Oreochromis niloticus: one gene and its partners. The protein of the gene in region 4 purifies or fractionates together with the protein of the main gene of each other region. This does not show direct contact. Links are inferred from orthologs where the notes say so. Each region holds a gene or a part of one and is shown on either strand. Other genes may lie near its edges.

What was found.
Region 1: the proteins of polr3e (region 4) and polr2k purify together in Homo sapiens (affinity purification with mass spectrometry; 3 studies listed by BioGRID and IntAct, with this or other methods). This does not show direct contact. The link is inferred for Oreochromis niloticus from reciprocal best matches to the Homo sapiens genes POLR3E and POLR2K.
Region 2: the proteins of polr3e (region 4) and rpap2 purify together in Homo sapiens (affinity purification with mass spectrometry; 3 studies listed by BioGRID, with this or other methods). This does not show direct contact. The link is inferred for Oreochromis niloticus from reciprocal best matches to the Homo sapiens genes POLR3E and RPAP2.
Region 3: the proteins of polr3e (region 4) and polr3h purify together in Homo sapiens (affinity purification with mass spectrometry; 9 studies listed by BioGRID and IntAct, counting the BioPlex papers as one, with this or other methods). This does not show direct contact. The link is inferred for Oreochromis niloticus from reciprocal best matches to the Homo sapiens genes POLR3E and POLR3H.

What each region holds. Positions count from the first base shown.
Region 1 is NC_031985.2:19,959,501-19,966,751, forward strand, and holds polr2k (DNA-directed RNA polymerases I, II, and III subunit RPABC4), read right to left. Parts: upstream 2,539-7,251; 5' UTR 2,426-2,538; intron 2,226-2,425; 5' UTR 2,218-2,225; coding exon 2,157-2,217; intron 894-2,156; coding exon 801-893; intron 625-800; coding exon 602-624; 3' UTR 523-601; downstream 1-522. Other genes in the region: stk3 (serine/threonine-protein kinase 3), read left to right, coding at 2,881-2,903, 5,211-5,291, 5,417-5,545, 5,982-6,096, 6,416-6,580, 6,724-6,891, 6,988-7,125. UniProt on the Homo sapiens protein: DNA-dependent RNA polymerase catalyzes the transcription of DNA into RNA using the four ribonucleoside triphosphates as substrates.
Region 2 is NC_031982.2:10,756,800-10,764,792, forward strand, and holds the start of rpap2 (putative RNA polymerase II subunit B1 CTD phosphatase rpap2), read left to right. Parts: upstream 1-4,978; 5' UTR 4,979-5,052; coding exon 5,053-5,107; exon of another isoform or gene 5,108-5,217; intron 5,218-5,310; coding exon 5,311-5,356; intron 5,357-5,482; coding exon 5,483-5,597; intron 5,598-6,600; coding exon 6,601-6,699; intron 6,700-6,792; coding exon 6,793-6,858; intron 6,859-6,954; coding exon 6,955-7,043; intron 7,044-7,147; coding exon 7,148-7,183; intron 7,184-7,268; coding exon 7,269-7,993. Other genes in the region: glmna (glomulin, FKBP associated protein a), read right to left, coding at 101-210, 306-390, 478-551, 695-736, 830-919, 1,346-1,376, 1,522-1,575, 1,740-1,921 and 6 more.
Region 3 is NC_031969.2:9,483,503-9,490,897, reverse strand, and holds the start of polr3h (DNA-directed RNA polymerase III subunit RPC8), read right to left. Parts: upstream 3,002-7,395; 5' UTR 2,814-3,001; coding exon 2,703-2,813; intron 2,559-2,702; coding exon 2,462-2,558; intron 1-2,461.
Region 4 is NC_031973.2:9,907,101-9,914,263, reverse strand, and holds the start of polr3e (DNA-directed RNA polymerase III subunit RPC5), read right to left. Parts: upstream 3,003-7,163; 5' UTR 2,774-3,002; intron 2,046-2,773; 5' UTR 1,980-2,045; coding exon 1,941-1,979; intron 618-1,940; coding exon 567-617; intron 409-566; coding exon 331-408; intron 87-330; coding exon 1-86. Other genes in the region: eef2k (eukaryotic elongation factor 2 kinase), read right to left, coding at 4,834-4,943, 5,151-5,329, 5,507-5,631, 5,771-5,959, 6,187-6,318, 6,826-6,891, 7,104-7,160. UniProt on the Homo sapiens protein: DNA-dependent RNA polymerase catalyzes the transcription of DNA into RNA using the four ribonucleoside triphosphates as substrates.

The DNA of each region.
Region 1 (7,251 bases), on a different chromosome or scaffold from region 4:
CTGCCGCTCACTGGATATTTTCTCTTTTTGGGAGATGGCTGTGGGAAAATCCTCGTAGATCAGCCAGTCTGGTACCAACAATTATCCCACAGTCAAAGTCATTAAAATCACCTTTGGGGGTGAGGGGAAGAAAACATCGAAGTGTCATTTAATCTTTATTACTATGAAAAAGGCCCCAAACCAGTTTGCATTACACAAAATCAGGTTACTTCCCCCTGCTGCATTTTATTATTCTGAAAGGCAGACTTCATTTCAGGGGTCGAAAAGCTGCAAACATCTCATAGCAACAGACCAATTACACGTGACTACATGAATATAGAAAAGTCTACAAGAGCTGAAACACATATTTTCCTGTCGTCATGGAGATGCTACCAATTAAATCGGCTCATCAGTTAGAAAAACTGGAAAAACAGTCACGACCAATTAAAATACTTATTTTTTAATAAACCAAAACAAACTTTCATACATCTTTGACAAGCAAATGTATTGTTTAGACGGAGAATAAAATGAGTAGTTCACAAATCTGAAGCCAGGTCTATTTATTTACATGATCCCACACTACAAACAGTAAACAGAGTCAAAACTGCTCCTCTCCTCTTCTTCATCGGGCATCGAATACAACCACTGAAATCAGAGAGTCAAGGAAATCCACAGCAAACGTAGCAACCAAAAAATATCAATCAAAAACAAAATATCTGAACACTCTTTAGCATAAAGATTCATGTCTGAAATTAACTGTCAGTTGGTCATTTTTAATGTTTTCACAAGTTGTCTTCATGCACACAATGTCAAAAGGATACATCTCTTTGTTCTCTTCTTGTACATGATCCTGTAGCCACACTCTCTGCATCTGATCGGATCGCGGGCTTTGATTTCGTTCTCGGTGTGACATTCTGCAAGTGATGAGAGAAATCATGGTGTTATGTGTTCAAGTGCAGTTTGAGCAGAGCAGAGCAGCGGGCAGCACATAGTTTTTCTGCTGATGTTAATGACAGAGAAGGTTTGGACCTCTGCAGCTACTGAGTCAGCAGAGTGTTGGTAACTTTTTTTCACTTAGCGCACGCCTCTGAATTCAAAGAGGTGTGGCCCAATATTTTAGTCCATAATGTGTAAGGTGTATTCATTTCAGTTCATTCAGATTGTTACTGAGTTTTTACACTTGCCACAAAACTTGTTAGTACTAAAATCAGGGTGGTTCCTTTTCCAGATGCAAGATGACCAACATTACGTAATCATGGTGAAATATGTGTTATTGGTTCCAAAATAGTAACAATGTATCAGACTGTGAAGGAGGTTTAACATTTCCCACTGTAAACATTTAGTGAGCCTAATGTGTATGTTATGTCATCCAGAGGTCTCCACCAAGGTGGATTAAGTAGTAAAAACACTATTCAAACACAAGAACATCATGTAACTCTCAGTTAGTACTTGTGTTTTGCACCTGGAAGCACAAATACCCACAAGGTAAAAAAAAAAAAAAAAAAAAAATCATACATACATACAGAACAATAAAATTATCTTATTCCAAGCTAACTATGATTAAAACAGAGATTAGAAAAGGGGTAGGGGTCATGAGGCTATAAAGGCACCTGAGATGTAATTTCAGTGAATGGAAATCCCACACATGCCAGGTATCACAGCTTTGAATGCACAGACCGGTTTACAATAGGCAGACCTTGTGCTCCAAGTGTTATTTAGTACTAATACTGAACTCATATTTATAATTATAGACGGTAGTTATGCGAATTTTCTATAATGTACATTTTCATGTGTTAGGCAAAACAGGACATGATATAGTGTGATAGATGGTTTTCTCTAAAAACTAGTGCTGTAATACCTGAAAAAATACACTCTCAGTTATCTCTGAAGCATTAATTACGGATTAATCCTTAATTTATTAATGTCGGACAGGCTAGTTTTAGAATCTAAATTTAGCTGTAGTTTATTATTTGTTAACTTATTATGAGAGAATTGTTACTACGACGGAACACAATATGAACAATATTTAAGGTCTCTGCGGTGTAATGTAAAAAAAAAAAACATCCAGAGGAGAAGCAGCCGTGATGGCAGTGATGAAAGGTTTGCATTAGAGCAGGTAAGATCGTACTGTTTGCATTACCCGCGGGTGTATTATTAAAGTAAAAGTTGTAATATACCTCCACATATGTAGATCATAGGCTGCTGCTTGGGCGGCTGTAGATCTTTCTGCGTATCCATTTCTGATTCTTAACAAAAAAATAGAGACAGAGATATAACTGTTAACAACATGCTAACAGAAACAGCATGGTATTGCCCGAAACAGACTAAAACAACCCATATGGTATTTAGAGCAAACAACAAATATCTTTAAAGTATCTAAAAACGCTGCATAAACCTAACAGATATGAAGTACACAGGATGGAAAGACAACAACAAGGTTTCTCACCGTTTAAACACGATAGCTGCTAGCTGTTTACCTCTCTTTTCATACTCCACAAGGCTCCTGCCTGCACATGCGTAGAACAGTCGTTCACCTCACAGCAAAGTCGCTTGTGATTGGTCGGACGATGTCTTTGAATGAGACCAGGAAAGCATAGTTGTATTTTGTGGACAGCTCTATTATCAGTAACATTTTATTCACAAGTCTCAGTTGTTTAATAGATACAAATTATTCGCTGTTTCTAAGGAGAGTATTTTTTAGCCGTTTTGTTTGTACTCCGCTCCAGCAGGGGGCGCTGCGGTGAGGCCGTAACACCGTCATCCGACGAGCCCTCAGCTGGCGCTGCTTTAGTTTTTGACAACAACGACTCAGTCGACAATGTTCTCGCCCTGACTGCTGGTCCCAAAAGTGCCACGAGTCCCTATTAGTCTGTTTTCTTTTTAGTTTTGAAGTCGTACATCATGGAGACGTCTGCGCCCAAAAGGTTTGTGTTATTTTAACTGCGCTAAAAATGCTATTATTATCGAGCTAGCCGAACAGCTAACGTAGGCGGTGGATGTCGCCGAGCTCGCTGATGCTAAGCTAACTTAGCGTTGACAGTCTTCTCTCAAACTTTCAGTTCTGTTCACGGATGTACAGATCGTTCCTCACACAGAGACGCTCTTTCTTGAGCCCTCAATTGAGTTTCTAATAGATTTGGCTAATGATGTGGTCGTTTTGTGTTCCCAAGTTTCTGTAAGAGTGTTTTGTTCAGTGGTTTGATTTGCACTTTAAATATCATTCAGTCGCATGTTAACTGAATCAGCCTCTAGTTTCCCGAGTGTCCTCCAAAAAATGAATTGCATTGTTTCTGTGTATCTTTTTATGTCTAATATTGTTGAAAGTATTTGTAAACAGGCTTTAGTTATTAGGATTTATGAAGGGGTTTTTATATATATGTGTATATATATATAATAAAGACGTGATCTCTCTTTATGGGTCTGCGTTATTGTTATTGACTTTCTTAGCCACTTAAAATGTCCTTGTAAAAGTTAAAGGTCCTCCATGTTTTGGCTTGCCTGTTTGCGCAATCTCTATTGGAAAAAAGACGTTTTGAATGTCAATAACACTTTTTATCCAAATAAATAAAAGATATATAAAAGTCACTTTGCCAAAAACTAAATGCAGCTTCTACTGCTTGCTCAAAGTGACTTGAAATCATTCATAAGAGAGAGGTATGTTTGATAGGTCATAGGCATTCATTTAGAACTGTTTAAATACCGGACACGGTATTTTTTGGCACAACTCCTGAAGACAAACCAGTATTACACGTTACTGATTACTTAGTTGGTTTCTGTGCTGTGGTGGTTCACGAGTTCACAGGCTCAAAAAAAAGACAACGCAAGTTAATTTTACCGAAGAGCTTTTTAACCACAAGGCGACAGATCTGAAGTCTTTGTATGATTGCTGTACTATTTTTAAACTATGAGATCACACATGTTCATCTTGAGATGAGAAATATTTATTTATTCCATATATGAGCACCCCTTTTATTACAACACTATAAAGGATGATGAAATAATAATAATAATAAAGTAATATTATTAAACATTTAGGTTGACAGAATTTGGTAGGAAAGATTTTTAGAATAGTAAAATATTTTAAAAAATGAATAATAACAAAATCAAAAGAAATTAGAACTGCTTTGGAAATCATTGACAAAAATAAAATTGCGTAATATAAAGACAAAATAAATATAGAGTAAAAATTGCTTAAAAGTTTACTATAACATTAATAAATATACAATGAAATTAAAGAATGAGTCTCCAAAAATAAATATTTGAACAAAATAAGTGATGATGATAATAATAATCATCATCATCATCATAAATATAATAATAGATATTGAAGTAAATTACCAAAAACATATAATTATAAAACACTATGTGAAATTCAGACTGAATAAGTTTTTTATTTTGGATTCAAGGAAAAACAGCAATATTTTCAGCTCTTCTCACAGTCAGTGAAAGGCTTCTCTGAAAGACTTTGAGGACACAATACTTAAACGTTTCTGTTCTGCTTAGTGGAAATTAACAGGAACAGCAGGATGTGAGGGCCTTTCCAGCTTCATATAGCACAAGCTTTTCTAAGAGGTAGTATTGAAATACCCTTATAATGGGGAAAAAAACACACAATCTGTTTGTGTCTTTGTCAGAGCTCATGTAGGATCATTTTTAAATGATTGAATCTTTTGATTCATTGTGTTTGATTTATTCACTAGAGCCAGACTGAGGAACCTTATTGAAGCTTGCGTCACTAAGTGTTGCTCAGGGAGAAACGACCTCCTTTAGTCTTGTATTGCACGTGATAATATTTTTGATCAAGTCAGAAAATAGTGAACAGTGCATGTTGGGTTGTGCTTTCACTTTCACAATAACATTTTTTGTCGATCACATTGAACTTAACTGGCTAAAATGACATTCCTGCTCTGAGTAAAATAATGACTTATTCCTGTTGTTTGGCTGCGGTGCTGATTTTTATCTGTGAAGAAGTATTACCTCATATTGTGGTGTTTGAAAGCACCGATGCACAAACCTAAAAATATCTTTAAATTACAACAAACGGAAATTATAACAAGTTGCAGTCCCAGTGTGTTTGACATTTATGTCCAGACTAAAAATCACCCACAGCCGTTCATTTATTTACAAATGCTGAAACAATGCCGTGTCTCCTGTTTTGTAATGTTTAGATTTGCCTTTTCCACTTATCATTGCTTTCACTTTTATATTCCTGTCTTATTCACTTTTTACAGTAAGCTGAAAAAGCTGAGTGAAGATAGTTTGACGAAACAGCCAGAGGAAGTGTTTGATGTTCTCGAGAAACTCGGTGAAGGGTAAGAAGTCTTAACTTCCATTTTTACAGCTGACCATTGCGTAATGAATCTCTTTTTAAGTGCTGTCAGTTGTAATAAAGCACTGCGGCCGTACATGTGACTTTAAGCTTTGTGTGTGTTTCTAGTTCCTATGGCAGCGTGTTTAAAGCCATTCATAAGGAGTCCGGCCAGGTGGTGGCCATCAAGCAGGTGCCTGTGGAGTCCGATCTGCAGGAAATCATCAAGGAGATCTCCATCATGCAGCAGTGTGACAGGTGGGACAGCAGTATGTCTTTAACCATACCGCCAGTTTTCCCCTTAAAAGCAGAGTTTTTCCTCAATATGAAAAATGTGGCGTCCAGTAAACAGTTTTGAGAGAAAATCATTGTTTATTTGCAGGCTCAGAATACATTTTTTGTTTATCAGCTGCCCCAAATAACAGGGAAGTGCACAGTTGTTCTGTTTAATTAGATAAGAGCCTCTTAGTGTTAACTGTACGCAGACCAGTTGCACTTAGCTTCCTCTCAAAGGTCCATTCTGAGCCAGGAAAACCCTCAAAAGACATTTTACAGAGATAATAATGGAGGAAGTATGACATCATCATCATAGCCTATGTAGCTCTCTCGTGTCTGGATCCATGAGATTTTTTTTCTCACTTCTGCTCTGTATCTTCTCCTTTGATAACCACTCCATGTTGCATTTCCTCCCCAGCCCCTATGTGGTGAAATACTATGGCAGCTACTTCAAGAACACAGACCTGTGGATTGTGATGGAGTACTGCGGCGCTGGCTCTGTCTCTGACATCATCAGACTGCGCAACAAGACGGTGGGTGTCTACGCTGAGCCGCAGCGACGTGTGTAACTGTGCTAAAACTTAATTTAAAAGTGCCTTTGACCTGTTGTCAGTAATGACTGCAATGGCGGCTTTAATTCACTAGTTTTTGTGTCAGGAAGAAAAATATTTTTGATAAAGTTTCAATTCAAAGTGCAGTATTTATTGCGACTTAAAAGTGAAAAGATCTCCAGGTTGAACTTGTCTTTAACTGAACTCAGCAAACTAATGATTATAAAAAAAAAACTACAGACAAGTGCAGCAGTTAATGCTCTGTTTTTTCATGTTTGTTTTTTACTCTTCAATCTCTCAGCTGACAGAAGATGAGATCGCAACCATCCTTAAGTCGACGCTGAAGGGACTCGAGTATCTTCACTTCATGAGGAAGATCCATCGGGACATCAAAGCAGGAAACATCCTTCTGAACACAGAGGGACACGCCAAACTGGCAGACTTTGGGGTTGCTGGACAGCTGACGGTAAAATTGCGGCATATGTCAGTAGTGATAAGATGAAGTAATGTCTGCCAGCATGATACTGTTTGTAATTTGCTTCTGAGGAGTTCTCGCTTGGTCCTGTCATGCTCTAAAAGTCTGGGGTAATATATATTCCCACTCTGTAGGACACCATGGCGAAGAGAAACACTGTGATCGGTACTCCGTTCTGGATGGCACCCGAGGTAATTCAGGAGATCGGCTACAACTGTGTAGCTGACATCTGGTCCTTGGGCATCACATCCATAGAGATGGCAGAGGGTAAACCTCCTTATGCAGACATCCATCCAATGAGAGTGAGTAGAAACATTTCTTCTTGTTTTAAATGTGTTGTGAAAAACATTTTTCCTCTTTTTTTAATCCACCCTAATCCTGTTATCGTGTTCCTGCAGGCAATCTTTATGATCCCGACCAACCCTCCTCCAACATTCAGGAAGCCGGAGCTCTGGTCAGACGAGTTTACAGACTTTGTCAAGAAGTGTTTAGTGAAGAACCCGGAGCAGAGAGCGACGGCCACACAGCTACTACAGGTAAGAAGATGACCTCACCACCACATACATGGATTACTACTATTATTATGTTATTTGAACAGGGAAGGAAACTAAGAGCAACTTGGTGTCCTTCCCTGTTCAAATAACTGATACAAAATGAAAGCA
Region 2 (7,993 bases), on a different chromosome or scaffold from region 4:
GAAGAAACAAAATTAAACAATGTGACACTTTCTTTTAAACAGTGTGTATGACCCTTTTTAACAGTGTGTGTTGGGACTGGCTTAGTGTGTGTGCACAGACCTGTCCAGGTACTGCAGGAGGTCTGTCTCTGGGCCATCTGGAAGAATAAGAACCTTACGCAGCAGAGGCATGAGCTGAACGCCTTCAAACCAGACGTTACTGTTACCTGGCTGGAGACGGAGCGGTAAAGAGATTCTTTTAGGTCCCCCAAGAAATTTTAAACACTGCCTACACTGTCATTTTTTCCTTTAATGCACATCTTCACCTGCAGGGCAATGTCTATCTGATTCTTGATGTTTTTAATGATGTAGCCTTCAACTCCTGAGTGGTTACTTGTCTTCAACATGTACCTGAAACAAGAACACAGGTCACTAGAGTGGGAAGTGGCAAAGACACATATTTCTGATTAATTTTCAGGGAAGAAAGGTGGAGCTCACTGGAAGAATCTGTACTTGGCTTCAGTGTTGAACTTATCAACGCTCAGCTGGAAAACCTTCAGTCCTTTAGTTCTCTGAAGACAAAAAGAAGTTCCAACATAAAAGTTTCATTCTAGATAACAAAAATGTGATGAAGGTGACACAAATAAAAGTCGATTTCAAATCAAATGATCTGACATTACATTTTAAACACATAAAAATTCATTCAAAAACTTACCAGTTCATGCTTTGGACATATCGTCATGACCTTTATTAAGTTCTGAAATCAAACGCTGACATTAATAACATTATATGATGCACACAAAACACAACGGTAGACCCAACAGGTCTATAATGAAGCAACTGCGTTCACCTGAGGGACTGTGAGGAAGGTTTTAATCTCCAGCAGGTCTGCACGCAGACTGCCGTCCTCCACCCGCACCAGACTTTTCTCATACAGCTCCTGTGTGATGCACATCCATCATACGCTGATGACTGCTTTTAATGTGCAGAGGAAGATTTAAGTAACACAGTGACCATTTTACTGGCAGGTAATGACCCTTACAGCCTCATCCTTTCTCCTCTTTGGCTTCTTACAACTGGCTATTATAGGAAGAAATGTGGGGAACCTCAAGTTTTAGAGTCTAAAACCTCTCCAAACGCTAACCACATTATTTGAAACGTTGGCCATGTTGAATATGAGCATCCAAGATGATGACCGTACATATCAAACCATAAGAAAACAAACTTTTAAAAATGTTAAGTATTATTAAAATATCACCATGGAAAAATATAGGATTAAATCCAGGAGTCATGTACGGCATTTATGACTAAGGCCATTATAATTTATGTAATAAACAACTAAATGATCAGTGAAAACATCACCTACCAGTCCTTTCTGAAGCTTGGACTCCTCAGTTCTATAAAAGATAGATATTACTCATTACAGGTTGATCATTAAAGTGGTGTGTTATAAATGTGTGTATAATGTGCACATTTATATTTTACAGCTTTTGTAAAACACTAACAAAGATTATAACACCACACATTATTATGTCATGTTACCTGGACAGGAGGAGAGAGACGTGCTCGATGTTACATCGAAGACTGAACACAGGACTGCAGAGAGAATACGGAGTGTTGGGAGCATTAAGAATCTATTTAAATGTTTCAATATTTGTTAATTTAGAATGAATGCAACACCCAAGCACAGATCCATTTCAAACCAAGTGTGAATAATCGCACATTGTGCATCCAAGGACAAAAATATGTTTTCAAAATACCTGAAAACAGTGGGGAAGGTGTCTGCAGCCAGGTGATGGACAAACACCAGATGAGCCAAGCTGGCCAAAGACTCTTTAGGATAGCGCACCTCCTCCTCGAGAAAGCCGGGAACCTGCTTTCTCTTCAAAAGAGGCTGGTGCACAAGCCCAGCGATGGACTCCCCAATAGAACCGAGGATGTTCTGCAGGACAGAGAAAGCCACAGTTACCATGATATGCAAGTACGTGACAAACTGATGACATATTAGAAACCAGCAATGAAACCGTTTACGCGTTTGAAAAATGCTTTTACCAAAATCTCGGTGGCAAAAGTCCTGAGGGGGGACAGAGCCAGCGTGTCAGGATCCTTGAGGTGTACTTCCAACAGAGGATGACTCAGACTCTTCATACAGCTCAAGAGGAGACAAACAAAAGGGAAGCCTCAACATCATCAGTTTTCAAGAGCCCTGCAGTGCTTTTCTATGACATGATGTCGGACTATCAAACGTGAGTCTGAGCTGGAAAACGCATTTTTTTTCACTCACAACTTCAGAAGTTCTGTCCGCAGCTCATCCTCTTTATCCTTCCCCTGTCTGCCCACAGTCCTGTTTGTGGTCTCGCTCTGCATTTCATTATTCAGCAGGTTATGCCTGACTTCTTGAACAAAAGGTCTGACGAAATCTATCATGTCAGTGCAGCAACGGCAAAATGAAAAGACGTCATCCTCCTCTTGCTCCTTGGTGTGAGGGAGAGGCAATTTGGCCACCTGGTCCAGCACGGAGGACAGCGCCATGCCCAAGGATGACGCCTTACGGCCGCCCAGGCACAGCAGCACTGTTAGAGGCAGGAATCAGAGAATACATCACAATAATAACAGCAAGAAAAAGTATCCAAACAGCAATATGCAATATATATGTAAGACAAGAAGAAAACCAATAAAAAGAGTGGCATTAAAGATGACTAAAAAGATTCTTTACCTTTCTGTAAAGGCTTCAAGAGCAGATGGAGACTCTCCACTATCGTATCAGGATCATCCTGCTCCAGCTGCTCCAACAGGCCGATCAGCAGCTCTTTGGGTCTGCATGTCTGCAAAACCCCCCACAAAGATCACCCTTAAAATGCCACATTCATCCAGTTTTCATTGGTGATGTTTTATCTTAAGTCCACTCCTGACCACTGACCTCCAGCAGGTGGTTAAAAATGGCCAGACACTGAGGAAGATTCTTGTCTTCTTTCTTCAGCAGGACCTGGATCAGCGGAGGCAGCAGGTTCCAACCCATGCATCTCACGATCTCCTGCACAGATGAAAACAGTTACACAGATGAGTGTGTGACAAACCTGAGAAGCAGTGATTGGTGTCAACTTTGAGAAACGTTACCTGATTCTTTTCATCCAGCACAATACTGAGGACCTGCGCGCTGTTTCCCTCCTCGATACATGTCCGCCCAGCAACCGTGAAGATGTTGTGATCCTCAGTGGTGTAGCTGTCGTCTGGAAGAGCCTGCTGTATGCAAAAGAAACAAACACGTGGGTAGAAATAGAGAAAACAACATTTTAAACAGTTTCTTATTAAATATTATATTTCATCAAATATCTCAAAGACAAAATCTTATTACCCTCTGGTTTGGGTTCAGGACACAGTCACCCCCTCTACTTTTAAGATTAGGCTTTTTGATAAAGTTTACAGTTAGCGCTGGATCAGGTGACCCTGAACAATCCCTTAGTTTTGCTCCTTCCTCAGGATGCTGGGGGACATCCCATGATCCACTGAAAATTTCTCCTCTATTCCCGTCTTCACTAACTAAGCATTTATACACTGCTGCTGTATGGCAGCAGTGTATAAATGTTGTAAACTTGCGTGCATCCCACAGAGAGACACACAGAACAACCAAAAGGAAATGGAAATGAAGAAAAGGAAAATGAAGAAAAGAAAAATGAAGAGACAAAAAAATGACCACAAAACAGCAACAAACAGAAGCACAATGAGCAAATTGTTTATAAAACAATAGAAAACATCTAGAATCTAGGTCACCAACAGGTGGACCACCCCTACGCCATTCTTTACGGACTCAGACCTACTAGATTTTCACGAACCCTTTCTTTTTACTATGTGCCACCTTTTCCTTTGTCTTTATGGTCATATATACACAGCAAAGCCATTGAATCGAAATACATAGACCAATGGCGTGCTTAACTCACTCAACGTAACTCTACTCAGGCAATCCTTTACTCAGAGCACGTGTAAAAGTAGAAAACTCAGAGACGAGAAGCAGAAGCCCAAGGAATTAAGTCAGGGAAACAGACAGGGAGAAAAGGAGGGTTTAAAGTGAGATGGTTTACATGTGAAATGTAATTTAGAAAAAAGCCAAAGAGGGGAAATTCAAAATACAACTTTTCATTATTTTAAATTATTTGAAGACAACTTTTTCAAAAGCTATTATTTGATTGCAAACCTTATTTTACTTGAAACCAAAAAAGAACATTTACATCAGAGAAATGAATAAAAAATATTGTTAAAATACTGATGAATTACACTCTCTTTGCTTTACTTTACAAGCAGTTATTGCCCATATACTTACACTGTATAACTGTTAGGCTACTTCAAAACAGACTGCACTTATTATAATTATAATCATGTGGAACTTGATTATATTTTGGGCTTGGAAATGTTCTCAAACTGGACCTCCTTAAATTTTAATTGAATACCCCTGATCTAGAATATGCTCTGGTGAGGGACTCATTCTATCACTGTGAGTGGGTACCAGCATGCAGGTTGGTGCCAGTGACTGTGCCGACATGCTGTTTAGGGAATGGATATCAGAGTGAAGGAGGGGATGTGGGTTACAAGTCCCACTGAATACTTACACATCTTTGGACCACCTCACTGAGCTGCTCCAGAGCCATCCCTGCTGTCTTCATACGGGTGTTGTCCTCATGCAGAAGTCCTCAAAAACAAAGGGGAAACTTCAAGTATATAAAAAACAGGTCCAAAGGTGTCAGAGGTTAAGCTCTGAGCCTGTGTGACTGTAAACACAGCAGAGCAGCAGGGATGCTAACCCTGCTCTGAATTAGCCGAACAGTGGCTAGCCAAACAAATTCACCACCACTAAAAGAGCCGCTGATGTGGACACAAACGGGACCGAGGTGAAGGGGACACCTACCTCAGCTTAATTTCCACAAACAGCCCGGTGAAAAAAAAAAAGCACACGCACACACATACACACACACTGCACGCTATGGACTCACCTCGCGAACGCAAAATTGTCCCCCCTGGCTTGCCGTAGAGGGAGACACGTCACAGGTCAAAGTTGAAAGCGTAGACAACAGAAACAGCATGGAGACGGAGGAGAGAAGAAGGAGCGGGAGCTCCAAAAAACCTGCCAAAAAGGGTTCGTTAAAAGCCTGTTTTTTTTTTTATTTCTCGGGTTTTAGAGAGGTGTTTACGGCGCTGCGGAGGGTTACACGGGTCTCAGAGCGCTCACAGCTGGTTTGCGTAGCGGTTCGTTGGTTTGTTTGGTAGAGTAACAAGATCTCTGCCCTCAGAGATTCAGTTAACTCGTATATTCAACATGTTTTGTTGTTTGTGGGGCAGGTGGGAAACGTGTCAAAGCACTCACCGCGGAGGAAGAAGCGAGAAGGTGAGAAACCCCTACTCCACCAGGACATCTCTACTGGACGCTTCAGCTGCACCAGTAATCATTACCAAACATTTGTTGGTTGTGGAGTAAACACAAACACTTCTTCACATGTGTGCTTTATGTCAGGAGAGAGGAGCTGAAGGAGAAGCTGAGGGAGAAGTTGGAGCTGGAGAGGAGAGCTTTGAAGGTGGTGGAGCGGCTCCTGGACGACAGTGTGGCTGAGGACTTCCTAGTGGACTGTGTATGTGTCACCGGTGACTTTAGACATGGCACAAGCTTTAGGCAAACCAGGAGACAAAGTCTTCCCTTACTTCTCTCACACCCAGGTCCTGTTACCCTTACATCACTGCCAAGCCTCTGCCATACTAAACCTGTCTCTTTTATTCACACAACATGTCTGCCACAATTAATTAGACTCTCACAGTCTTAGAACATGGCCCAATCTGCAGTTTCCAGGGTTTATAATCACCATGAGATCCCATGATTGAGGTTTTTCCATTGGGCCAGCATTACACAGCCTGGCTGTAGTATGTTATTTAGACCTGTTATGAATTTGAATACACCACTTCACTGGTAGCAGTGCCATTGCCTCACAGCAAGAAGGACCTGAGGAGTATGCTATGAAGGAAGTTCACCACAGCCAGGCTTTGTTTGCGTTAGCTGTTGACAAAGCTTAAAACCCCAGTCAGAGATAATGGACATCATTATGATGGTTATCACCTTTCTTTGTTTAACTAGGCTTGTTGTTAAGGTATGTCATGTTCTACTCTTTTTCCACACAGAATGATCCCTGTGAATGCTGCCTAATCAGATGTTATAAGGTGATAATGATAAAATGCTGTCAAAAGTCTATAAAGAAGAGGAAAAATATTACAATAAAATGCAAAACTGTTACAGACAACACGAGATATTAATGCTGTGGAAAAATGTCAATCTTGGGATTTAGTGCATAGAGGGATAAAATAAACAATCTAATGCATTCAGCATTAGTTACCATGAGGTTTTAGCCAGGTGAAAAGAGAGATGGACTGGCAACCAATCGAGGACTCCGCCTCTCACCCTATGGCAGCTGAGATACGCTGTGTGAACACACACTTTTTTTTCCATTTCTGATCACAGACTTTAGATTACAAGCAGGTTTTCAGTCAGTAATCAGTTAATTTAAAATGTCACACAATATTAATTTTACACAAATTTAAACCACAGAAAAGCTGCAAAGTAACTGAGTTCTCTTTACTTCACAGGCCAAAATGATCACCCCAGCTAATTACAGAGATACTGTAGAGGAGAGGTCTATTGCTAAGCTGTGCGGTTATCCCATCTGTCCTAATAAACTGGGCAAGGTAAGGCCACTGATACTGCATTTCGCTGCAAATAATAAACATCTTCATGTCTCATATGTGATGACTGAGTCTGCGCTGCTGTTCACTTTCTAGATCCCAACTCAACAATACAAAATTTCTACGAAGACCAATAAAGTGTATGACATCACAGAGCGCAAGGTGAGTGTTTCTACATGAAATTGCTTTTTGGTTTTTTTTACACTTACCAGAGTGTGCTTAAAGACACATTTTGGTCTTTGCTTCTTTTGTCTTTAGTGTTTTTGCAGTAATTTCTGCTACAAAGCCTCCAAAGCATTTGAGCTACAAATACCAAAGACGCCTCTTTGGGTTCGGCAACATGAGAGGTGTGTGTGCTGCTTCTCACCTCTGTCCTAAATCACCTGATTGATCTAATTGTTGAATGCAGTGATGTTCTGTATAATGTCTTTGCTCCCTTTCTCTCTCCCAGTCCTCCTGAAATTAAGTTGTTGAAGCAAGGAGAACGGTACGTAATAAGTTTCAGTGTTTAGTTTTCCATGTTTAGCCTTATTAATAGAAAGACTGATCCAGGGTTACATGTGTGCATTCAGTGGGAGCTCTGGTGAGGAGGTGATGCTGTCCGAGAGGTATCTAAAAGAAGAGGACATCGAGAACCCTGTGGCTGCTCAGGACGAGGATCTTCACAGCTCTCGTGATCATCCTGCTGGAGGCAGCCACAGTGATGTCAGTGACGGCGAACATGAGCAGGACTTTGTCTCCAGCGTGGTCTCCCAGCAGCAGAAACCCCGGGTACACTGGGGTGACCTGCCCAAACTCTCAGATAAGGATGATAAAGGGAAACAAAGGAAGTCTGAAACAAGAAAGATAAACACCAAAGAGGGGAATGAAGAAAAGATCGAACCTCCTCAGAGTCAGAATACAGAGGAACAGAGAAGTATGATAGAAGACGAGGAAAGAAAAGAGGCAGACGTGCGTAAAACTGAAGTTACTGATGCTGAAAAACCCAAAGAGCTGCAGACGACACATACGGACCAGGCGGCTCCACGAGAGAGAGAGTTGTCTGAGCTTTCTAGTGTGGAAGAGACTACAGCTAAGATGAGCGTGTGCAGTTTATCGGAGACGGTAACTCACAGCGTTCCTCGCTCGAACCCTCCAGCAGAAAGCAAAGAAATTCCCGCCACTAATCAAAACAGTCACGGCCAGCAAGAACTCAACATCACGCAGGTGGGTATGAGCAAAAGGGGGGCGGCGGGGCTGCGAGATCTACTGAAGAACCACGCCGAAGCCAAACCTGACTCTGTACGGATGAATCTGC
Region 3 (7,395 bases), on a different chromosome or scaffold from region 4:
GAAGCGTGATCATCGAACAATCAAGCGTTTCATTCAAAATAGTCAACAGGGTCGCAAGAAGCGTGTGGAAAAACCAAGGCGCAAAATAACTGCCCATGAACTGACAAAAGTCAAGCGTGCAGCTGCCAAGATGCCACTTGCCACCAGTTTGGCCATATTTCAGAGCTGCAACATCACTGGAGTGCCCAAAAGCACAAGGTGTGCAATACTCAGAGACATGGCCAAGGTAAGAAAGGCTGAAAGACGACCACCACTGAACAAGACACACAAGCTGAAACGTCAAGACTGGGCCAAGAAATATCTCAAGACTGATTTTTCTAAGGTTTTATGGACTGATGAAATGAGAGTGAGTCTTGATGGGCCAGATGGATGGGCCCGTGGCTGGATTGGTAAAGGGCAGAGAGCTCCAGTCTGACTCAGATGCCAGCAAGGTGGAGGTGGAGTACTGGTTTGGGCTGGTATCATCAAAGATGAGCTTGTGGGGCCTTTTCGAGTTGAGGATGGAGTCAAGCTCAACTCCCAGTCCTACTGCCAGTTTCTGGAAGACACCTTCTTCAAGCAGTGGTACAGGAAGAAGTCTGCATCCTTCAAGAAAAACATGATTTTCATGCAGGACAATGCTCCATCACACGCGTCCAAGTACTCCACAGCGTGGCTGGCAAGAAAGGGTATAAAAGAAGAAAAACTAATGACATGGCCTCCTTGTTCACCTGATCTGAACCCCATTGAGAACCTGTGGTCCATCATCAAATGTGAGATTTACAAGGAGGTGTTATGGCCCTGGGCCTTGGAGGGAGTGAGACTGCCTTTTTGTGTTCATGCAAATCCATGTGTGCCATGACTTGTGGGTGATTGGTTACTGGGAGACCCGTGCCAACCCTCTTTTATGCAGAATGAAGTGTGCCAGACCACACGGATGATTGGCTGCCCGGGGATCCCGTGATGCTCCAAGAGGCAATCAGTGACTGATCGTACCCACCTGTGGCTACAAAAGGCTGGAGGTCCTTCACTCAGTGGCTGCTGTTTAGGACTGAACATGCAGTTTGCCCTTCGTGCCTCCCTCTTCAATCTTTGTTGAACTTGTTCATATTGCTGAACTTTGTCAAACCTTGGTGCATGCTTGAACTTAGCCAGAGTAGAGCTTTGAGCTGCTAGCTGGCTGTGAGTAGAATTTTGTGATGCTGGCTCACCTTAGTTAACCCTTAGCTTTTATTTTGTGTGTTGCCAGCTTGCCTTAGTTAACCTTTAGCTTTTACTCTTGTCTTTTTTTGTCTTTATATAATAATTGTTTGCCCAGTGGTCTGTTGAACAGCCCTGTCAGTTTTCTGTTTACAGTTTGGAATGAAAACCTTTCTTTACTCAGTTTTGTGTTGGGGGCGTGTGTATGTTACTCCTCCCCTGATGCCTAGCAGAGGAGGTTGTAACAGGGGGGAAAACAGTACACCTCTCTGAACAGTGTCTGGGAGGCTGTGGTTGCTGCTGCACGCAATGTTGATGGTGAACAGATCAAAACACTGAGAGAATCCATGGATGGCAGGCTTTTGAGTGTCCTTGCAAAGAAAGGTGGCTATATTGGTCGCTGATTTGTTTTTGTTTTGTTTTTGAATGTCAGAAATGTATATTTGTGAATGTGGAGATGTTATATTGGTTTCACTGGTAAAAATAAATAATTGAAATGGGTATATATTTGTTTTTTGTTAAGTTGCCTAATAATTATGCACAGTAATAGTCACCTGCACACACAGATATCCCCCTAAAATAGCTAAAACTACTTCCAAAAACATTCAGCTTTGATATTAATGAGTTTTTTGGGTTCATTGAGAACATGGTTGTTGTTCAATAATAAAATTATTCCTCAAAAATACAACTTGCCTAATAATTCTGCACTCCCTGTATTTTCACGGTTGTTGTGGTCGTGACAATTTTGTGAGGCCACATCGAAAAGGCTCAGATGAGCTTGCCAAAGTTCTACATGTTGTGCCTCCATCGCTTGTGTCCAGATCACACGCTGCACTGCCGTGCTGCTCTGTCTTTTCACTTTCATTTGTGTTTGTGCGTGCAGTGTGGGAGGCTGCGTTGACACCCTCATGACGGCCGACAGGATTTCAAACAGGTTTGATTTTCTTACGACCAAACAATTGATGATCGGGAGCTGGTCGTGAGGTGTTAATCGCTTCTCGTTACCCCATGTATACTACACGATGCGTGACACACGATTAAGGCGAAACTCGGGCCGATCCCCAAAACGGTCGCACAACTAAAAAATCGGCTCAAAATGGGCCAAAAATTGCACAGTGTATGCCCAGCATAAGGAGGAGGAGTCACCACTCACCATCTGCCTTGTTTGTGCATTAACAGTAGAAAAAGGGTTTTGCTTTAATGTCTGAGGTATTACAAGCAGTATTAACTTTAACTCAACTACACCAAAGCTGTCTCAGCTATTTGATGGTGATCGTCATACCTTTGGTGTGTGAGGCTCCGTCTCCTGGGAATATATAGGAGTCCTCGAGTTTTGTGATGTCGTACAAGCAGATGCAGAGTCCCACGTTATAGACCACCTATTGTAAGCACAGCACTACACAATTTAACACACAAACTTCTGCTAAAAGGACAATATATGTTCAGTATTTTAGCTGCTGAACTGTTAGTGTGTTTTGTGTGGTGAAAATTGATCCTAAGTGTGCTAGAACGGTCTCCATCACCTTGTTGGCCAGCTTCTTGTTCAGTTCCTCCGCCACAGCCTCGTTGAGTTGCCGGTGAAAATTCCACGGCGGAATCCGCACCGTGTCGACCATTTCCACCAGCACGAACATGATGACCGGACACTGGTCACCTACCCACTAATTACCATACGTTCTTATAATATTAAAAGCAATAAAAAATATTAAGTAATGATCAGAAAGTAGTATCCACGTTTCTTGTTTGTTTGTTTTGCGGCATGCCGTAAAACAGCTGTCGCAATTCTAGACGACTACGGCAGGTTTCTGGTGCCACCTAGTGGCTGTAACGCTGCAATTGCTAACAAATACCGCAAACCATGGACTCGTTAGTGTAACGTACCACGGCCTGCCACGACATGCCAGAAACTGCCAATTGCTTGGAGGTTCTGGTACTTCATACACCCGGCTGTGTAGTCCAGAAGGGTCAAGTCAAGTCAGAAAAGCTGGTCTGTTGAGTGCATTCAGAGCCTCTTAATTACTCACTTTTGAAAAATGGACCTTCAAACTGGGTTGAGCTTATAGTGCATGTCCCTCCTGTATTCTGGTCTTTGTTGAAAATAATAGTCTCTGTTTTTAAAACATTTTCCATCTAAATGTTTTAAATCATGCTATTATGATTAGTGGATAAATCTATTGCGTGAGTGATTGACTATTGTGTTATAAATATACTTTTACTGTCAGACTAGAATACTGAACACCATCATTATCCAGGCTAAACAAGCAAAAAGTATTAAAGGGATGTTTAGGTTATTTATTTCAGTAAGTGAGGTACAGAAACTGCAGGATATTCTGGCCACAACAGATGTTAAAGGGAATAATGAGCAGCCTTCATCATCAGCATCATGGTGCTTGCATCAATCTGCTGCCCAGGATAAATGGGAGAAAGCAAGGCCCTATCATCCGATCTGGCTGTTGTCTTCCAACGTGGTTCCAGAGAGGAACAGCAGCTACTGAATGAGAAATGACAGTCCATCGTTACTTTCAGAACTGAAGGTCAGTCAGTCCAGAAAATTGCTAAACCTCTGAGTATGTCCCCAAGTGCGATCGCAAAAACCATCAAGCGCTACGACGAAACTGGCTCACATGAGGACTGTTTCAGGAAAGGAAGCCCAAGAGTCATCAGCCTCAGAAAACACAAGTTAACAGCAGAACAACAACAACAGAGTTCCAGCAGCTGACACATCTCTACATCAACTGTTCAAAGGGGAGTGTGAATCAGGACTTTATAGTCAAATAGCTGCTAAGAAACCACTACTAAGGAAACGCAACAAGCAGATTTGTTTGGACCAAGAAGCACAAGGAATGGACATTAGACAAAGTAATCAAAGCAAAGGGTGGCTATTTTAAAGAATCTAAAATATAAAACATGTTTTGAGTTATTTCACACTTTTGTTGTTTACTACATAATTCCATATGTGTTCATTCATAGTTTTGATGCCTTCAATAAGAATCTACAATGTAAATAGTCATGAAAATAAATGAGAAGGTGTGTCCAAACTTTTAACTGGTAGTGTATATAAAAATTTTAATAACAATGTATTTATGTACATGTGTACCATATTTTGTTTATAGGTCGGTATGACAGACAAGTATATATATCTATATATATATAGATATATATAGATATGTATATATGTACGTATATATATATGTATGTATATACTTGCTTCCTGAACAGACTGAACTTGCTAATATTTACATATTAATAATTAATAATATTAATGTGGTCGCACTAAACTAGCGACCCTGTGTTACATGTTTTAACATGACTGCACTGTAAGTGGCTGATAGCTGCTGTCATATGCTGATTGTCCATGTGTACGCTCGAACATGGGCAAGTCTGGTATTTATATTTGACATCACAGCAAATAGGAGATTCGAGTCTGGCATTGATATTTGACATCACAGCAGGAAGGTGATGCGAGTCTGGCATTGATATTTGACATCACAGCAGAGAGGCGATTCTGGTGTTGATATTTGACATCACAGCAGGGAGGTGAGGCGAGTCTGGCATTGATATTTGACATCAGAGCAGAGAGGCGATTCTGGCACTGATATTTGACATCACAGCAGGAAGGTGATGCGAGTCTGGCATTGATATTTGACATCACAGCAGAGAGGCGATTCTGGTGTTGATATCTGACATCACAGCAGGAAGGCGATGCGAGTCTGGCATTGATATTTGACATCAGAGCAGAGAGGCGATTCTGGTGTTGATATTTGACATCGCAGCAGGGAGGCGGATCTGGCATTGCCATTTGACATCACATTATAGAGAGGCGAGTCTGGCACTGATATTTGACATCACAGTATAGAGAGGCGAGTCTGGCATTGATATTTGACATCACAGCAGAGAGGCAATTCTGGCTGCCATGGTTACGGGTTGTTGCCATGGCTGTTGCCATGGTTACGCGTTGTGGTTGCCATGGTTGTTGCCATAGTTACGGGTTGTTGCCATGGTTACGGGTTGTTGGCATTGTGGTTGCCATGGTTACGGGTTGTTGCCATGGTTACGGGTTGTTGCCATTGTTGTTGCCATGGTTACGGGTTGTTGCCATGGTTACGCATTGTCAGCGTTGTGGTTGCCATGGTTACGGGTTGTGGTTGCCATGGTTACGGGTTGTTGCCATGGTTATTGCCATGGTTAAGGGTTGTTACCTTGGTTGTTGCCATGGTTACGGGTTGTTGCCATGGTTGTTGCCATGGTTACGGGTTGTTGCCATGGTAGTTGCCATGGTTACGGGCTGTTGCCATGGTTACGGGTTGTTGCCATGGTTACGGGTTGTGGTTGCCATGGTTACGGGTTGTTGCCATGGTTGTGTGTTGTTGGCATTGTGGTTGCCAACAACCACAATGCATGCAATGTGATGTCAAATATCAATGCCAGACTTGCATCACCTACCTGCTGTGATGTCAAATATCAATGCCAGACTCGCCTCTCTGCTGTGATGTCAAATATCAATGCCAGACTCGCCTCTCTGCTGTGATGTCAAATGTCAATGCCAGACTCGCATCACCTTCCTGCTGTGATGTCACATATCAACAGCAGAATTGCCTCTCTGCTCTGATGTCAAATGTCAATGCCAGACTCGCATCACCTTCCTGCTGTGATGTCACATATCAACAGCAGAATCGCCTCTCTGCTGTGATGTCAAATGTCAATGCCAGACTCGCATCACCTTCCTGCTGTGATGTCACATATCAACAGCAGAATTGCCTCTCTGCTGTGATGTCAAATGTCAATGCCAGACTCGCATCACCTTCCTGCTGTGATGTCACATATCAACAGCAGAATTGCTGGGTTGTGGTTGCCATGGTTACGGGTTGTTGCCATGGTCACGGGTTGTTGCCATGGTTGTTGCCATGGTTACGGGTTGTTGCTATGGTTGTGCGTTGTTGGCATTGTGGTTGCCATGGTTACGGGTTGTTACCATGGTTGTTGCCATGGTTACGGGTTGTTGCCATGGTAGTTGCCATGGTTACGGGTTGTTGCCATGGTTACGGGTTGTTGCCATGGTTGTGTGTTGTTGGCATTGTGGTTGCCAACAACCACAATGCATGCAATGTGATGTCAAATATCAATGCCAGACTTGCATCACCTACCTGCTGTGATGTCAAATATCAATGCCAGACTTGCATCACCTACCTGCTGTGATGTCAAATATCAACAGCAGAATTGCCTCTCTGCTCTGATGTCAAATGTCAATGCCAGACTCGCTTCACCTACCTGCTGTGATGTCAAATATCAACACCAGAATCGCCTCTCTGCTCTGATGTCAAATGTCAATGCCGGACTCGCCTCTCTGCTGTGATGTCAAATGTCAATGCCAGACTCGCCTCTCTGCTGTGATGTCAAATATCAATGCCAGACTTGCATCACCTACCTGCTGTGATGTCAAATATCAATGCCAGACTTGCATCACCTACCTGCTGTGATGTCAAATATCAATGCCAGACTCGCCTCTCTGCTGTGATGTCAAATGTCAATGCCAGACTCGCATCACCTTCCTGCTGTGATGTCACATATCAACAGCAGAATTGCCTCTCTGCTGTGATGTCAAATGTCAATGCCAGACTCGCATCACTTTCCTGCTGTGATGTCACATATCAACAGCAGAATTGCCTCTCTGCTCTGATGTCAAATGTCAATGCCAGACTCGCATCACCTTCCTGCTGTGATGTCACATATCAACAGCAGAATTGCCTCTCTGCTCTGATGTCAAATGTCAATGCCAGACTCGCATCACCTTCCTGCTGTGATGTCACATATCAACAGCAGATTTGCTGGGTTGTGGTTGCCATGGTTACGGGTTGTTGCCATGGTTACGGTTTGTTGCCATGGTAGTTGCCATGGTTACGGGTTGTTGCCATGGTTACGGGTTGTGGTTGCCATGGTTACGGGTTGTTGCCATGGTTACGGGTTGTTGCCATGGTTGTGTGTTGTTGGCATTGTGGTTGCCAACAACCACAATGCATGCAATGTGATGTCAAATATCAATGCCAGACTTGCATCACCTACCTGCTGTGATGTCAAATATCAATGCCAGACTTGCATCACCTACCTGCTGTGATGTCAAATATCAACAGCAGAATTGCCTCTCTGCTCTGATGTCAAATGTCAATGCCAGACTCGCTTCACCTACCTGCTGTGATGTCAAATATCAACACCAGAATC
Region 4 (7,163 bases):
GTGCCGTCCACATTTAGGGCGATTTGCTCTCCTTTACTGCGACAGTAGTTTGGACTCACTGTGTCCATGGATATTTCCAGCTCCACCTGTATAAGGAGCCGTACATAAATGATCAACAACTACAAACACCCGATTTAATGACTTTCAACATTTCTGAAAACTTCCAATACAAAAAATCTTATCTTATAATTTAACCTGATGTAACCAATTAACTTGAGAAATTGGTGATATTCAATACTTTAAAAATTTATCCTATTCACACATCTCCCCTGAAACGGAAACATATTTTCAACAAAACACAAAATACATCAACATCAGGTTTTTGGTTACCCTTTGCTGCTTGGGTTTGATCTTAGCCGCCAAGTGGGTGACATCATCATAGGTCATGGTGGCTGGTCGCACAGGGTACTGCATCAAGGGAAAGCGGTGAACTCAATTAGTGACTCTTTGAACATTACACATCAATCCCACCCCAGACGGTGCAGATAAGTTAGAGAAACTGCTCACACGTGGGCTCGTGAGGTCGTGCTCATCAGCGCACGGGTACTACAAAGGGACAAGCTCACCTGGAAAAGATACAGCTTATCTGCAAGGCTTTTGGCGAGGTACACGTCGATCTAGAAAAAACACAAACGTAGATCAAAGTCAAACAGGCTGACGTAAGGAGCCAACAGCCAAACCAGACTTTCCTCCAAAGTTCCCCAACTCAGGGTCATAGCAGGGTGAGAGGTTGGGTACACCCTGGACAGGTCGCCAGTCTGTCGCAGGGCTAACACAGAGAGACAGACAAGTAGGGCTGCAGCATTTGAATATTTAAGTAATTCAGTTTGCATTGATCCAAAGTGTTTGTGCTGACTTTATGGTGATGTAGATGTTAATAATTTGTGTTAATTATAATTCAGTGTCCAACCAAACAGCCACAGGTCATTGGCTCAGAGTTTTCCTGGCCATTGTATGTTATAAAAAAGCTTTTATTTTTATATTTTAAATATTCATAAAATTTAATTAATGCAATCTTTTTTCCTTGATTCTAAAAATTTTTGTTAGGAGAGCCCTTAAATAAATATGGCTCAGTACACCCCATGCCCTCTTTAGATTCCCCTCTGCATGCTGCAGGTATCACTGCAAGACAAAGTATGAAAGTTGTCTTTAGCAAGTTGCCTGATTTAAACATCGTATCAGACTTAGTTAGCAGTTAATCTGCATAATTTAATGTAACGCCTGTAATCTCTTTGTGGTGTGTTTATGTAGACAGAGTCCGGGCATGTCTTTGGGCTGAGGGTCGAGTACTCTAAGAGAACATGCAAAAACCACAGTAAGATACTAAATTCGAACCCATGACCTTGTTGCTGAGAGGCAGGAGTGCCTCATAGCTAACCACCGTGCCACCAAGTAAATAATAGATTATTAAAATCAGCTGTCTCCACTTAGCTCAAACAAATCCTTTTTGTGCTGACAAATCAGCTGCCAGAAGTAGTCAAGCCATGATCACTAATGAGAAGTTAATGAACCTTGTCCCTGTCAAGTGAAAAGGCACTGCAGAACCTTCAGCACCAATTACTAAAGTACATATTTAAAGTAATTAAATATGTATGCTGTACAATCATTCCACCCTGGAAAATGATCACTTCAAAGAAATAATTAAAAGCCAAAAATTGCCACGACAGTCATGCCGATGACGACTGTATGTAAACTTCTCACTACAACCATGAGTATAAATGCTGATATTTGCTGCCAGGTGATTTTATTACCTGTTAATACACCTAACAGAGACTATGCATGGGAAACACCTGGGAATTGTTTACTGCCCGTGAGGCTGTGTTCACACTGATAAACACAGAACAGCAATAAAAGGTGCACAGGGCAGAGAAAATGCTGTATCATACTTGATTAGGTCAGTGAGACGTATAATATCCTTTCACTTAAGCCTGTAAACATACCTCCTCTATAATGGGGTCATCATCATCACCGCTGGCCATGTTGATGTGATCAGAGCAAGAAGGTGAGAGGGGCAAATCTTGGGGGAGAGGGGAAGGGGGTGGAACCTGGAAAAATAAAAGACAAACTGGGTTACAGGAGCTAAACGTCCGGCTGCACATTCCTGTTACTGTTATGGAGTGGCTACACCCAGACTGGCAACAGAGGCACTAGATGACAGGAACTTAGTGATCCGGCACATTACAGTTACATCACAGTTCAGTCAGGAGGTGTCAGTATTGGTAATAGCCGATACTATTCAATTAACCCAACAAGTAAACCATAAGACGCTAAAGTAGTCAACTTCCTATGGTAACCTGTCATGTGATGCTTTCACGGACACACAGGTAAAATCCACATGATGCAACACAGCAGTAAAAGACTCCTCCTCGTAGAAACATAACCCTATCAAACACTGTGTCAAGCTAATAAAAAAACCGTATGACGCCAATTTACTGGCTGACTATATAGAGTGTTTATGGTTAAGTTAGCTCCATTAGCAGCAAACCCTGTGAGCATTTATCACAGGCCTACACAACACAGCGGGTGATTTTTTTATTCCTATGTAAAAACCAACACCAATATAAAGAAGATAGGATACACAGCACTAAGTTGAAGATCTGTTTCCTGTAAACAAAAGTACAAGCAACGACATTAGCTACCAAGGCGGTAGCTAGCAAATGTAGCCTAGCGTGAGCTAGCTTAGCATGGCGTGCTTAGTTAAAATAACACAGATTCAATCAGCGGGCCTGATTTTAAATGTTCTTTATGTAAGAATAGCAGATTCCTCCCTCACCTGCACACTTCACCGTTCAGCTTTAGCTATCTCATCCGGGTGTAGCTAGCCCAGGAACGTGGTGCAGAGAGCTGCTGCTGAAGTGGAGTTTAACTCAAGACAGCTGTAGTCTACTGCCGATGTGATACCATGTTGACTCTGCTCCACACAGACACGTGGGGAGGAGCCCGCGCCCATAATGCACAGCGAGTCCGCTATGCGCTTGTGTCATTATTTTTGTACGCTTTTTTATTCATTACCAACTACCCCTAGGTATTATTTGTGGACAATTTAAGTTTTCAGATGAGATTGTTTCGTGAATAGAACGGGAAAAAAATGTATCCTGGCAGCGGTGGGATTCGAACCCACGCCCCCGAAGAGACTGGAGCCTTAATCCAGCGCCTTAGACCGCTCGGCCACGCTACCGTTGTGATACGACGTATCGAAACAGAGGCTAATAGCGAATATGAAGCCCCCTGACTATAAAGTTTGGGTTGTACCCGTTTTAAATGGAGTTGAGACAAAAATAATGTAATATAAAATCCAAGGACATGCAAAATATACCCTGAAGTCTCCTGGGCAATTAAAAATAGAAAGTTTCAATTATTGCACTTCTATTGAGTTCTTTTTTTGAGACTGCAGCAGCAAATAAGAGGATAAACGTGTCCTCAATAGACAGAGAGGAGTCGTTACAGACTTTAACTTCAAATCACGTCTGCAGCACAGAGTCAGCCTTCCTAATCAGCTTCTTCAGCTTCCTAGTGTGAGTGGATCTGCTGTTAATACAACAAAAATAGTGTAAAAACGTAGAAATTTTCATCGGGGTTGAGGTTGGGGCTTTTGGGAAGGCTTTTCCAAAAGCGTAAAGTCAGTTTTAATGTGTGTTTTGGATCATTTTTCTGCTGGAACATCCAGTTGTGTCCGAGTTTAGTTGTTAATTTGAACTGAATCTAAAGTAATTATTCATTATTTCATCCACTTTGTGCAGTATACCCCAGAGCATGATGCTACCTCAAACATGCTTGACAGTTTGTACGTCATCTGTTTGAAAACCTCATGTTTATTCTGAAAACATGCCTCTTGCCATTGTGGTCAATTAATGACATACTGCAGCTCGATCTTTTTCTTAGTTGACCATCAAATTTCTTTCAATAAGGGATTTGGCTTGCCCATGTGGGACACTGCAAAATTCTATCAAGCTGATTTTGGGGGCTTCTTTCTTCCTCTCAGTTCATGATGTAAAACCTGCACTGCAGCAGTTTGGAGTTCATGGCAAGCTTTAAATCTGGTGGTTCCCGACTACACCGACCAATTTTCCTCTCATCTGAGGATAATAATGTGGGTCTTCTTCCAGGACTTGGCAAAGTGGTGACATACCTCTGAGCTCTGGGATCAGAGAAAAGTGCAAAGAAAACCAAGACTAGTGAGTTGAAGCATTTCACTGTTTTCTTTTGTCCCGTAACCAAACTGACTGCAAATTAACTTATTTTAGTTAATGGTGCAAAAAACTAAGGTAAATTGTTTCTGTTATGATACAATACACCCTAATTTTAGGTTACAAGAGTCCTTCCACTAGTTAGAAAAAAATCACAACAGGATCATGATTGGTAAAAAGAAAGGCAAACTTTTATTTTACAGTTTCATATTCCAAGCACTTTTCTTTATCACATATATTCTCTTAAACATAAACATGTTAACATCTGGGTCAAAATAAGTAAATCTTTTTTGATAGGTCAGACCTTTTCATTCGTAGAATCACATTAACTTAACTTAACTAAAGGTTAATATAGACATGAAATGAAAGAAATGAGGAGCCAGGAAATCTAGCTTTACAACCATACAGAAAGAATTCTGAAGATAAGTCTGATGCTGAATGGCTCAACACACATCAAACGCACACACAAACAAACCACCAACAGCAAAAAAAATCTGTCATAAAAACAGTAATGTAAACTGAAGTCATTCAGGTTTTACCCAGAATGTGTTAAAAAAAGAAAAGAAAAAAGAAAAAGAAAAACAGCCACACATCAAGTCTCGTGGCCTTTTTGGAGGTTAAAATTAATTTCTTTTATGTCGTGGAGTTACTCCTCCATTTGTGCCCAGGCTTCTTCGGCTTTCATGTAGTACTGGTTAGCCAGTCGACCCTTCATGGCCGCCATGGCAGCTTCTGCAGCTTCAGTAAAAAGGTCACCTGCAGGAGAGAGACAGCATGAGATGTTACAGGCAGTCGCTCCACCAAACAGAAATGAACACCAACCCCACGACCATCATGTGAGACTAAAGCTTCTCCGTGCCACAGATCAAAATCACAAGCCCTACTGCTTCACTGGGAAAACAACGGTCAGACAGAAACTGGTGCAGGATTTCTTGAAGTTAAAATTCTGCACTCGGGTTGAACCTGCTCTCTGTGGGTCTGCAGCGAGGTTGTGGCCTCCCTCCTGGTACATCTCTGCCTCTCTGGCCAGCAGAAGGTGGCGAGGCTCGTCCTGGGTCCCATCGAACTCTCCTCCCTCGTCGTAGTCCATCATGTTCAGCGCACTGTTGTACCAGTGAACCGCTTCGGCCCAGTCCTGCTTTCTGTGAAGGCAAGAGGATAAAATGCTTTAACTCACAAATCACCACCAATTAAAAAAAAAGAAACTGTAAAAATCCAACCGGCCACAAGAGGGCAGTACTATCGAGTAAAGTCATCCCCTTGGAGCAGGATTCCTATGTCTCACCTGAAACATCTGCTTTGAATGAACCTTCACTCACCTGTCAGCAGACAGATTGACTCCAGTATCAAAGGCTCTGGCCACTATGATCATAGAAGATCTGTCGCCAGCCTCAGCAGCCTGCAGCAGATACTTGAAACCTCTCATATTGTTTCCTGCATTATCCTGCCAACAACACACGCACACACACACACACACACACACACACACACACACACACACACACACACACACATCAGAATATAAAGCCACACTTGTGAAGTTAAGCTGAACAGTAGAAAGGAAAATAGATGGCGCACAGTACCTCCAGCTCCATGTCTGGGAGTATATGATGAGGTAGCTGCAGAAGGCACTGTCCCAAGGCTACGATGGCCTCCAGCTCTCCACACATGGCGGCTCTCTCCAGGTGGTACATGGCCGACTCCTGGTCCCACTGCTCGTCCTTCTCGCAGAAACGACCTGCTTCGTGGTACCGCACCATCGCCAGGTGGACCTGGGTGGGAGATCCAGAATATAAGCGCGTGAAGCATGTCGAGCTGCCTCATTGTGTTTGATTTGCTATAGGAGGAGTTTGGACTGAACAGAATGCTTTGCCTTTTATTGCTGGAATCAAAGAAATATATCAAAAATGGTAACAATGTAAGTGTTTTTAGTGTTGATGGGACCAGAGTTAAATAGCGGCACGGAAACATTAAATTAACTAATGTTTCCTCCTCTTACTTTTCCAAGAATCGACTGGCCGATCTTCTTCTGCAGCAGGTTGTTGAGTCGTTCCACCTCGGTGGCCACACAGGAAGGTCGGTGGACGTGAGCGCGGGATGAGTGATAGAAGGTCCACTTCTCCTCTGTCAACTGAACAGAAACAGGCGCCAAAGATCCAAGACAGAAAAAAAGTTACCATCTGATATTCATTGCATGAAATATATTATGGTTGAAAAGTCACACTGCAGTCTCAGAGGTGTACCCGTCCAGGAAAGTCTGCTTTGAGCTCAGAGCTGGAGGAGTACACCCCTGTTAATGCAAAAGGAGCGCACACACAGACACACACAGTTACAGAGGTGAAAATAAGCGGGATGGCAGAGCAGGCGAAGGTAAAGGAGGTCGATGGTGTTTCAGTTCCAAGTATCACTTTTTATCTCCAGTTATTCTGTATTTTCTGATCGTTTTCGTTCACTGAATAAATAAAGCAGGCGTCAACAGGAAAATAGCGACAGTGAGTTCAATCCACACAAATCGGAACCGTTTGAAAAGCAGAGCCATCATGCTGGAGGCAAGGATTATGCTTCACGGCCAAAAAAAAGACTGCAAAGCGCTGCACAGGGAAACACCTGGCTCAGGAGCTTCCATGCAAATAATCACCCATTCGTTGTCAGGAGTGTTTAAATTTAAGTTTGCAGAGACTCTTGGAGGAGCTACCATCTTCCTCTAGTGAGAGGAAACAAAGAGTAGGAGGAGTGGAATTAGAGGAGAGGTGAGGAGGGGCTTTCATGGTTAAATAAGTGATGGGAAAACAAAAGTAAAGATGATGTTAAAAGGGAAATTAAAGTAGTGTTATTTGATTACAGTGGTGATGATGATGATGATGATGATTAAGAACGAGGAGAGGAAGGGATTTAGGGATATTTATGTTTCTTTACCCGTCTGATACTTTCCTCATCCGACTCTGAATATTGCCTGTTGTAGCGATGATGGATCTA